2 linked regions of the Caenorhabditis elegans genome follow. The protein of the gene in region 1 purifies or fractionates together with the protein of each later gene. This does not show direct contact. Each region holds a gene or a part of one and is shown on either strand. Other genes may lie near its edges. The genes, in order: lrp-2 and egl-17.

Region 1 (5,165 bases):
AAACTTTCCAAGTACCAAAATTTGGCAAAAATCCCCCTCTTCTCTAGTATCTGCTCAATTTGCAGTAAACTTTAGAATTTCCGATTCCAAAACTTTTTCCCACATCTCCCAAAACCTAGAACTGCTGCTTCCAAAAAAAGTCACGTAATTTCCCAAAAAAAACTTGTTATGAACCCAATAACTACCACAATTTAAATGCTCCAAATGCACGAAATACCATAAACATTTACCCTCTCCACTTCTACTCGATTTACCAAATATACATCCGCTTTTTCGTCGGCCACGCACTTGGCTCAACCATTTATCGTTCTGCGTTTCTCTCTCTTTTTCTCAACTTCCGTTCATTTTTCTTCTTCTTCTTGAAAAGTCAAAAAAAGACACCCAGAGATGAATGTCTCCAGTTTTATTGCCTACTTACTTGCCGCTTTTTGTCGGATCACATTCCGTTTTTTTATTGTTGCGCGTCGAATGTGTGCGGTCTGGATGAAATTATTCAGGAGCTCTTAGTTCGCTTTATTCATAAAAAAGTCTCAGTGGAGCAAAAAAAGCGTACTCTTGCAGACGCCATGTTTGAAATTTTTAGAAGGTGCGCGTGCTAGCTGTTCAATTTTTTTGCATAACTTTTGCACTTAACCATAACTATTGAAACTACAGCGTCCATATTTCGTTAGTTTTTGATTTTACTAAAAAGTTGTAAACTGACAAAACATTTATCGTGACTAACTCTACAAATTTGCAGTTAAATTTTTTTTTTTGATATCTATGAGAATCTGCTAAAGTTGTGCCAATTTATTTCTAGAAAACGAAAACTTATATTTTTGCTCTCAGTATTGTAAACTATTAATTGAATGTACTTACGCTAAACGTTTTCACAGTCAATCTATTAAATTGCCTCTTTGTGTCCACATACTGTTCCATTTACCCCCCCCCCCCCCCCCACCTTCCTTTCCCATTTCTTTCATCGCCGCCTATGTACCAAAACATAACTCTTTTCTTCTTCGTCGTCGCCTGCCAATTGCCTTTGACACTGCCCCGAATCACCAAAAAGTTATTTTTCATTGTTTCATTTTTACTCGACCAGTCTGAGTCTCATCTTCTCTACTCGTGTACCTTTTTTGGCCTTGTTGTCTGTTGGTGAGGGAAATCTCAAAATTGTAGGTAGTTTGGTTATTTTCTTTTTGGGGTTTTAAAAAGGATTCTTGCGTGGAGAGCTTCAATAGTTTTAGTTTATACTCCTTGAGGGACTCCATAAATTTTTTTTTAATTTGGAATGTTACTTTCTAAAAAGTATTTTTTTAGTTTTGTGTTTTAGTTTAATACAATTCGTTTTATGAATTGATCTAAACCAAAAAAAAACACAAGAAAACCAAAAAAATTGAATACGTTAAAAATACTTGCATTTAAAATTCCAAAAGTAATTTTTAAAAAAGGTGTAAAATTAATAAATCGCTGAGTTTTACAGTTAGTTTTTGCTCGGTTACCTTTTCCGGTAAAAGCGAAAAATGGATTTTTTTTTTGCTAGCTTCTTTCTGAGAAAAATCTCATAAAAAAGAGCAAACTTGTTTTTTGACTTCGTCTTCCTGCTCCTTCTTCCCTTCCCCCAACGCCTCATACTTTATAAATCTTGTGTGTTCGTGTTCGTGTTCACATTTCCTCTTTGTCAGTTTAATTTTGTTTATTGCATTTGGCTCATCGCCATCTTTCCTTCTCTTTTCCAAATGTCTTACTTTCTTCTTTTCTCTCTCTATTGCCATTTGAACATCTACAATATATTGGGTCATCTGAACCGAAACGAAATGGCAATTAGACAGAAGGGGGTTCTTGAATTAAAATCACATTGATTTCTCGTAATCGTTTTACTTTTTGACTTTTGAACTTGTCTCCCTTTTTTCCTTTTTCATCTTTTTTTGCTAATTTCAGTCAAAACCTGTACCTCTCGACTCTCCATGAAGGTGCTGCACACATTCCGATGCTCTCCGCCCGTTATTTAGTTATTCTTCTTGTTGCCCTTCAGGGTTTCAGCCTCGTTCAGTCAGATGAGACGTCAGCGGAGGGTGAGCTTTTTTCCTACGGTACTCGATCCAGTCACGAAATTTTTTTTTGTTAAATGTAAAGTGTGGGCGCCAGTAATTTTCAAAGACGTTGATTTTTTTTAATCTAAAAATGTGTTGAAAAATCAATGAAGTTTTGTAGAAACAAGTGGTTGGAAATTACAGTAATCTTCAAAGGCACACACCTTCTTACGCTTAACGAAGTATTTTTGTACTAAGACCGGATACTGTATATTTTCAAAATTCGGAAAATTTTGCCATGTCAGTGTAGTAAAATTTACTCGTGAAGTGTGTAAATGCATCGAGAATTTTCAAATAGTTTGAAAAAATTTTATTCTAAAGCCGTATAAATTTGGAAAAATAGCAAATTGCCTGTATTTTTTTTACTTTTCGGAATCAAAAAACCTTTTTCAGAAACCCAACCCCACTACCCAGAATGTGTTGCACCGATGCGAGAATGCGATGCAAAATCGCCGGGCGGTCCAAAATGCTATCCGGAACAGTGGTATTGTGACGGGTTTCCAGATTGTCAGGACAGTTCAGATGAGCCTTCCACGTGTAGTGAGTTGCTATTTTAATTTTTCTATTGTCTTTTTGAGAACATATTTCAACCACAAAATTCGTTTAATTATTCCAATTTCAGAACGAACGTGTCTAGAAAACGAGTTTGTGTGCAAAACGGGTAAATGTCTGCCACGTGGCTATTTGTGTGATTCGCAATACGACTGTGGACGTCTTCCAAACGGAGACCGCGACCTTTCTGATGAAGCTCCTGAACTTTGTAAGTCTTTGAAAATTTTATTTTCGTGGCGCTTCATGTCTAAACTTTCCAGGCAATCAACCACTACACTGTGATTACAACGAGTACGCGTGTTCAAAATCCGCACAATGCGTGCCTCTCTTCAAATTCTGTGATGGTAAACGCGACTGTTCGGATGGCTCGGATGAGCATTCGATGTGCCACGTGGAAGATCCAAAGACAGCCGACAGTTGTGAGTATGGAGCAGCAATGACGATTGATGGAATCAAGTGTTACTGTCCGAAGAACAAGTTTTTGAATGAGCAAGGAAAATGTGAATTTGTAAATCATTGTGAACGAACCAAAAATGGTGAGTTTTTTTTTAAGTATGAAAAAATATTCAACAGTTTTACGTTTCCTACGTTTTAAAAAGGTAAAGCTCAAATTGTTAGGATGAACTTTAAAATAGCCCCTGAATGAATTTAAAAAAAAATTTTGCTTTAAATTTTTTCAACGTTTTTTTATTTAGAAAAAAGAAAAAAAACGGGCGAAGTTTGAAAAAAAAATCGATGAGAAATCGACAAAAACGTCTAAGAATAAGACAAAGCAACAACATGGGAAATAAATGTTTAAAAAACTTCAGAAAGTGAAAAGTAGACTTTCAGGACTTCCCCCTGTATGCAGTCAAGATTGCACTGACAACAAGAACGGTACTTTCACGTGTTCCTGCTTCGATCCCAGGCTCACAGTTGTCAATGGAACGCATTGTGTGGCTGATAAAGATCGTGAGTTTAAAATTTTTTTGATGAACACTTTTATTTCAAAAAAAAAAAAACAAAAAACTTATTTCAGAAACCATCCCCAGTGTAGCAATTCTCACCAAGAAAAAGCTCTTTGTGCTTCAGAAAAACAAGATGTCTAGCTATTCAAGCATGCCTCGACCACTAGGAAAACCCGGAGCAATGACTCTTGTCATCCAGCATCCTGACTTCCCGGAGGCCACTGTTCCAATACTCTGTCTCTCCGAATCTCCATCGGCAAATGATAGTTATATCACATGCGGAAATGTTGAAGGCTCCGAACCTGCAACCAAGACTTATGCAATTGATTTTGATTTGTCTTCTATTCACATCATACGATTCGATAATATTGGTAACAACTGGATTTTTACGGATGCTTCTTATTATGTATTCATTTGCAAGCATAATAGTGTACGAATATCGTCCTGTCGAACTGTTACCGCAGGTGATATGGGAACAATTCAAGATATGAAGTATGATGGATTGAACGGACAGCTTTTGGTATCTGAAGTTGATGTTTTACAACAAGGAATATGGAGAATCGATGTAGCATCTGGTCAACGATACCGACTATCCTATCAACCGATTACTTCTCCTGCACTTGCAATTGACCCATTCACCGAGACATTATACTTTGTGGATATTGGCGCACGATCCATCAAAGCCGTTGACTATAATGCAAACTACTCAAGAACTATTGTTAGTGGCCGAATTGCGAAAGAAGTTAAAATGATTGATTACGCAGAGGGTCGGTTGTTTCTGACACTGAAAGACAATCGAGTATTTGCAATGAATGCATTGGATTCGAATTCTGATATGAAGATTTGGCAGGAAGTGACACCTCAGAGAAAACAAGGGAACGAGAATATTCAGATCCTTGAAGTTTTGCACTTTCGACGAAATGAGCATGCATGGAAGAACAAGGGAAAGAATATTTGCAAAGCGGCAATGTGTGATGATATGTGTATAGGGCATATCAATCAAACTTCGTCGTGTTTTTGTAGAGATGGGTACATTCAGAATAACACAAAATGTTCCGCCTCGAAAGATCTTAAAGATGAAGAATTATTTGTTCTTGCTCAGTTAAGACCTTCGAGGATCAAGATCCTTGGATTCGACAAGAACTATCGGACAGAGATCATCGGAGTCTCAGATCTTCTGAATGTCAAACGTCCGAGTGCAATGACTTTTGATCCAAAAGGAGAACAACTTCTGATGTATGATTTGAGAAGGCATTCACTTGTAGTGCAAAAGATTGGATCCACAAATTACACAGTTCACGGACTTACTGGAATCATGAACTGTGAAGGAATGGCTTATGATTTTACATCGGATAACCTCTACATGACTGATCAACGACGAAAGATAATTACGGTTCAAAGACTTTCAAATCTTTCCATCCAAAAAGTAGTTGTTAGTGGGAATATGAGCAATCCAAGAGCCATCGCCATCCACATTGCAAAGAGCTATCTTTTTTGGGGAAGTTGGAATGAGGACAATAATGACGATGAGAAGATCCCTGCAATGATTGAACGATCGAAACTTGACGGAAGTGAACGAAAAACGTTAGTCTCG
Region 2 (5,257 bases), on another chromosome or scaffold:
CTGCCTCGCCTCATCGAATTATTGGATGAGGTCAGTTATGGCAGTGAAGCAGTTAAATTTCACTTGTACCTTCGTTTTTCATTTTAATTGTGTATTGATCGCTCGGAAAAGTTGTTTGAAACAAACTGAATTTGTTTTCGTTGAAAAAGTTATATTTGTTATACTTGGTTTTTTATTCAACATTCAAAAAAACATTCAAAATTCTCTGTTTTTCCCACGCGATAAAGATCCACAAACCGACGCCCTTATAGCTCAGTGGTAGAGCGTTGGTCTTGTAAACCAAAGGTCCGTAGTTCAATCCTGCGTGGGGGCATTTCTTTTTCCATTAAAAAAGGCTGAAATTCGTTTACTTTTGTATATGAAAGCTAGATGTTTTAATCAAAATTCTCTAGAAACATAGTATTACATTCCCTATCAGTCTTGCAATTATGATTGGTAAGTTTATCTGAGAAGTATTATTACAACCGTGCTAATAGCATGAATACAGTAGTGGTACAAAACCAATAGCGCTCAAAGAATATCAAATTATCACAAGAATCAGATAAGGAAGCGTAATTTAATGACCTCCTGTTATTTACTTTTGCTTAAATTTTAAATTCTCATCACAAGCTCATAAAAAATTATTATTTTCGAAAAGCCGTCAAAAATCCCAAAATTCAAAAACGGCCAACCCCCGGTGCGACTCTGATTAATCACTGTCTCCTCCCCCGTCACCCTCCTTTTCTTTCACGTCCTTGGTAATTTTCATATGTATGTTTGCTTGCGCACACATGGCGAAAAAGACAGTTTCATAACCAGAAAGCGTACGCCAATTTCTTAAACTACTTTTCCAAATGACGTTTTTAAGACATGAGAAGCCAGGAAAAACGCGGTAAAGTTGTTGCGGTAATTCTATACCAAACGTTTTTTTTTTTCGTTTGTCCTCTGGTTACTTGTCTACCGTTCAGTTTTTCATGTGATGTTTAATAATTTTTCTGAGGTTTAAAGTTTTTCAATGGTTTTTTTTGTTTAAAAGTGGACTATACTCTGTGGGAGATTTGCTTTAAAAGATTCCTATGGGGTCACAATGACCGAATATCATGATATAAAAATTCAAAAAAAATTCAAGATTTTATATGATTTTTGGGAATTTGGAAAAATCTCAGTTTTCCCCTAATTCCTATTTGAATTACCGCCTATTGAACTCGTTCGTTGGAGCGCGCTTGCATTATTTTCATTAATGTTTTTATTTGTTCTCATTATTTCACTGTTGTTAGTGAAATAATGAGAACATAAAAATTAATGAAAATAATGCAATCGCGCTCCAACGAACGAGTTCAATTGGCGGTAATTCAAATAGGAATTAGGGGAAAACTGAGATTTTTCGAATTTTCAAAAAAATAATTTAAAATCTAGAAATGTTTGTTGAATTTTTTATCATGATATTCGGTCATTGTGACCCCATAGGCAAGTTCCGTATAGGTGTGATAAGGTAGCTTCGAGAAAACAATTAGACTAAAATCTCATCGTTTTGAATTAATTTGGTTCATGTACAGATCTTTCATTATATTAACTACTTTTTATGCTCTTTGCATTACTTTCAAATTCTGTCATTACTCCAGAAGGGGATTTTTGCAAATTTCTGAAGATTGTAGTAGCATTTAAGGGTATAGCTCTTCCGCTAAATTTTTGCGGATACCTACTTTCAAAAAAACGAAAACATGTTTCTTGTAAGCTTTAAAACCTACTCACCAACAAAGTTATATTTTGTGTGTGTACCACATGTATGAAAATGTCATCTTAATATGATGTCCAGTCAATAGTTTTCCTCAGTTTTCTAGTTTCCCCCCTCATCTCTTATATCGTCTGTCTTTACCAACTTTCCTCCGTCTCGATACAATTGTCCGACAACTTCAAGTTGTAATTACAATGTGTTTTGAAAGAAAAAAGTGACAAAAAAGTTGATTAAATTCTTGTTTCTGATCTGATTTCTTCCAACGAACACCGCCGCTTCTTCTACGTGGCGTCTCAGCCGCTCGATTATGTTACTTTTGTAATATGTTTTCAATTGCATTTTTAGTTTCCGTTTTTGTTTTACCCAATGTGTGTCCCCGCTGTGAAAATCGTTTTACAGGCATCCATCTTTGATTTCCGACTCTAATTTATAAAATTCCAAGGTTGGTCCACTTGTTCATGTCACAATTAAAAACAATGATTTTTCAGGTGCCCGAAATGTGAGCTATGCTCAAAGTCCTACTCACCCTGATGTTGTCGACAAACTTTCGGAATACATGGTGAGTGTCGCAAAAAAAGTTCTCCCCGGCCGGGAATTGAACCCGGGTCTCGCATGTGACAGACGCGGATACTCACCACTATACTACCGAGGACACATTAATAGGAAAAGACGAGAGAAAATATAAAGGCGGGATAGGAACATGTTGATAGAATACAATAAGCGCAGGGAGGTGGTGAAAAAAAATTCATTGATGGCTTAAAAATTAAAACGACGAGCGTAAATTTATAAGATTCATTTGTGAAAACCTATCCGTTTTAATTTTTTTTAAAGTTTTTACCACCAAAGTGTTCCGAAGTATTTGAAAATCTCTTTGAAAAAAATTCACATGAAATTTGTTCCCACTATATCAACTTTAAAATGAGTTAAACCGATGAACTCGTAATATGCCAGACATTGCGAAAAATTACTTTTTTCAGTATCCCCAGTGAGGATTCTATCTAAATACGTACATAATTATTTTTACCATAACCGAATTTAAGAAAAAAATTCCAAAACTGTTTATTTTGGTATCTTGTAAATTTTTCGGACAGTTTGACCTTTTGAGAATTAAAAAAACAATGTTAATCATGACTGTGAAGAGAATTTTTGAAAATGTGAAGACAAATTTAATTTTACATTTAGAAAAATTTATTCATATCTACTTGAAAAATGTTTTAGTTTTAGGAGAATGTATACTTCAACCTTAAATAGGCTCAATAAAAAAATTGCAGCGCACGATTTCAAATAAAACCAAACGTTCATTATCTCGGTGAGACCCATTGGCAACTATTCAATGAATGCAGCCAAGGCATGTTACAGTCATTTCTAGGCTCCCTGAACACAAGGGGATATCCGGACAAACATTGTCTAAGTGAGTTTTCATTGTTCCGTTCAGTATAGCTATGAGTCATCTGTTTGAAAAGTTTGATGTCATCGAAGTAAGAACATTGATGCAATATTATATGTTTGTAGCCGATTGGAATGTGGTTGGAGAATGGGATGGAAAGTTTCGGTTACAACATGCACAGTCGAGAAAGTTTTTGTGCTTTAACAAAAGAGCAAGGATAACTTTGAGGGTATCAACTTTTTTTAAACCTATTTTTTCAAAATTAGGGCTCCCATTCGGCGTCTCACGCCGCGATCGAAATGTTTATAGCGATGCGCGAAACCCAAAGAGAGTCCGACGTGGAGTTAAGTTTGCACGAAATAGTGCTATAGGGTATGACACTATTTGGTGCAAACTTCGTTTCGCGTCCGGGACTTTTTGGGTTCCGCGCATCGCTATAAAGATTTCGATCGCATTTTTGAGAACTAAATGGATGTATACGAAACACATGCGTACCCTGAATATTTATAATCCGTTTATTAAATGATGAAATGTGTGCACAAGAAAGTTGGGTACATATGGGGGTTTTTCCCCAAAATGCTTTTTAATAGTTTTTTCACTGATTTTTTAAAATTTTACGCGAATGTTTATTTTAATACTATTGTTCATTGAAAAGTATGCTTTATCAGGTAAATTTTTTTTAAACTCAATTAAAAACTAACATTAAATTTACAACATTTCTGAAAAAACAATCCGAACATTTCAGTTTAATGGAAGCGACGCCAAATGCACATTTATTGAAGAAGTTCGGGATAATGGGTTTTCTCGATTACGGTCTTCATGGAAACCCGAACTTTATTTAGGTATGTGATGGAACTGCAAAAAAAATTGAATGAATACATTTGAAAATGGAAAATATTATTGGAAAAGTTAGTCATAAATAGTTAGTTGCAATAATTAATTTTATTTGATTTTTTTTTCAAATCTGGTCGTCCATCTACCTCAAAGTACCTACATTGAGCTGAAAACGAAAAATGATGTACTGCTATACACAAAATTAAACGGTTTTAAATTTAATCCTTTAAAAAAGATACTTTGACAAGTCGGTCAAATTTCAAATTTTAACTAATTTAGGTCATTTTTTGAGCCGAACTTTTTGAACTTTTTTTGATAAGTTCTCGAGAAGTTTCATTATTAAAGCAATAAACAGAAATAAACTACACCAACTTTATTCCAAATTAAATTTTTACAGGCTTCAACGGTCGTGGTAGATTTCAAAATCCTTTATCCTATCATTTAAAGCCAAGATGTTTTGACTGGATCAAGCTTGTCCGTTATGTTGCAGAATCCGAGAAAAGCGTCTGCTCAACTCCCCCAAAACCAAAATTATCACCCTCCCCACTTGAGCACTCGTCATTTGTCCATCATGCAGTTCGTTCAAATTTTTTGAAAAAAGTATCTGCCACACATGATAGTTTGTATCGTACAATGAAATCCAGAAAATCATAAGATAATTGCATGAATATATCATTGTTCCAGATAATTCCGAATGTTTGTATATGTACCATTATAGAATATGTAAACCGTCAAAATTATCGAATAATAAAATGTTTAAGTTTGAAAATTTTTTCGGCATTTGTGTGTTTTAATGAAGTTTACGTTTTTCTGTCTCTAAACCAATCAAAAAATCAGTTAGCAATAATTATTTTCAGAATTAATTTCAGATTAATATCAGATTCATCCACGTAGACTTGCCATAAGTGTTCAAAATCTAGTTCCAATGTTTCCAAGTGTTTGAAAAATGTTTTCCATCATCTTTTTTGAATAATTTTAAACAATACATAAAAAAGCAACAAAAAAATCCGGAGAAAATTATTGAATATTATTGAATATTTTGAACATAATTAAAATATAAAACTGAATTTTTTAAATTGACTCTCAAAAAAAACCAATTCAGGTGTGCGCTGCAATTGGCAATTTCGGCAATTGCCGGTTTCAAAAATTTTTGGCTAATTACGGTAATAGTTGCCGAAGTTGCCTAAATTGTCGATTTTTTTCGGTTAGTCATTTCCTATCAGAAAACGTTTAATCATGGATTAAATCATTTTGAGTTTGAAGATAGAAAATTGTTCAGTGAAATTCATGTTTAGGCTCCTTAATCTACAAAAAGTATCAAA

The links.
Region 2: the proteins of lrp-2 (region 1) and egl-17 purify together in Caenorhabditis elegans (affinity purification with western blotting, with the first as the bait; one study listed by BioGRID). This does not show direct contact.

The regions. Positions count from the first base shown.
Region 1 is NC_003279.8:3,950,747-3,955,911, reverse strand, and holds the start of lrp-2 (EGF-like domain-containing protein), read left to right. Parts: upstream 1-1,920; 5' UTR 1,921-1,969; coding exon 1,970-2,054; intron 2,055-2,465; coding exon 2,466-2,612; intron 2,613-2,694; coding exon 2,695-2,832; intron 2,833-2,884; coding exon 2,885-3,160; intron 3,161-3,455; coding exon 3,456-3,575; intron 3,576-3,642; coding exon 3,643-5,165.
Region 2 is NC_003284.9:487,574-492,830, forward strand, and holds egl-17 (uncharacterized protein), read left to right. Parts: upstream 1-2,111; 5' UTR 2,112-2,156; intron 2,157-2,202; 5' UTR 2,203-2,220; coding exon 2,221-2,273; intron 2,274-2,294; exon of another isoform or gene 2,295-2,366; intron 2,367-2,985; coding exon 2,986-3,125; intron 3,126-3,226; coding exon 3,227-3,330; intron 3,331-3,846; coding exon 3,847-3,943; intron 3,944-4,332; coding exon 4,333-4,589; 3' UTR 4,590-4,745; downstream 4,746-5,257.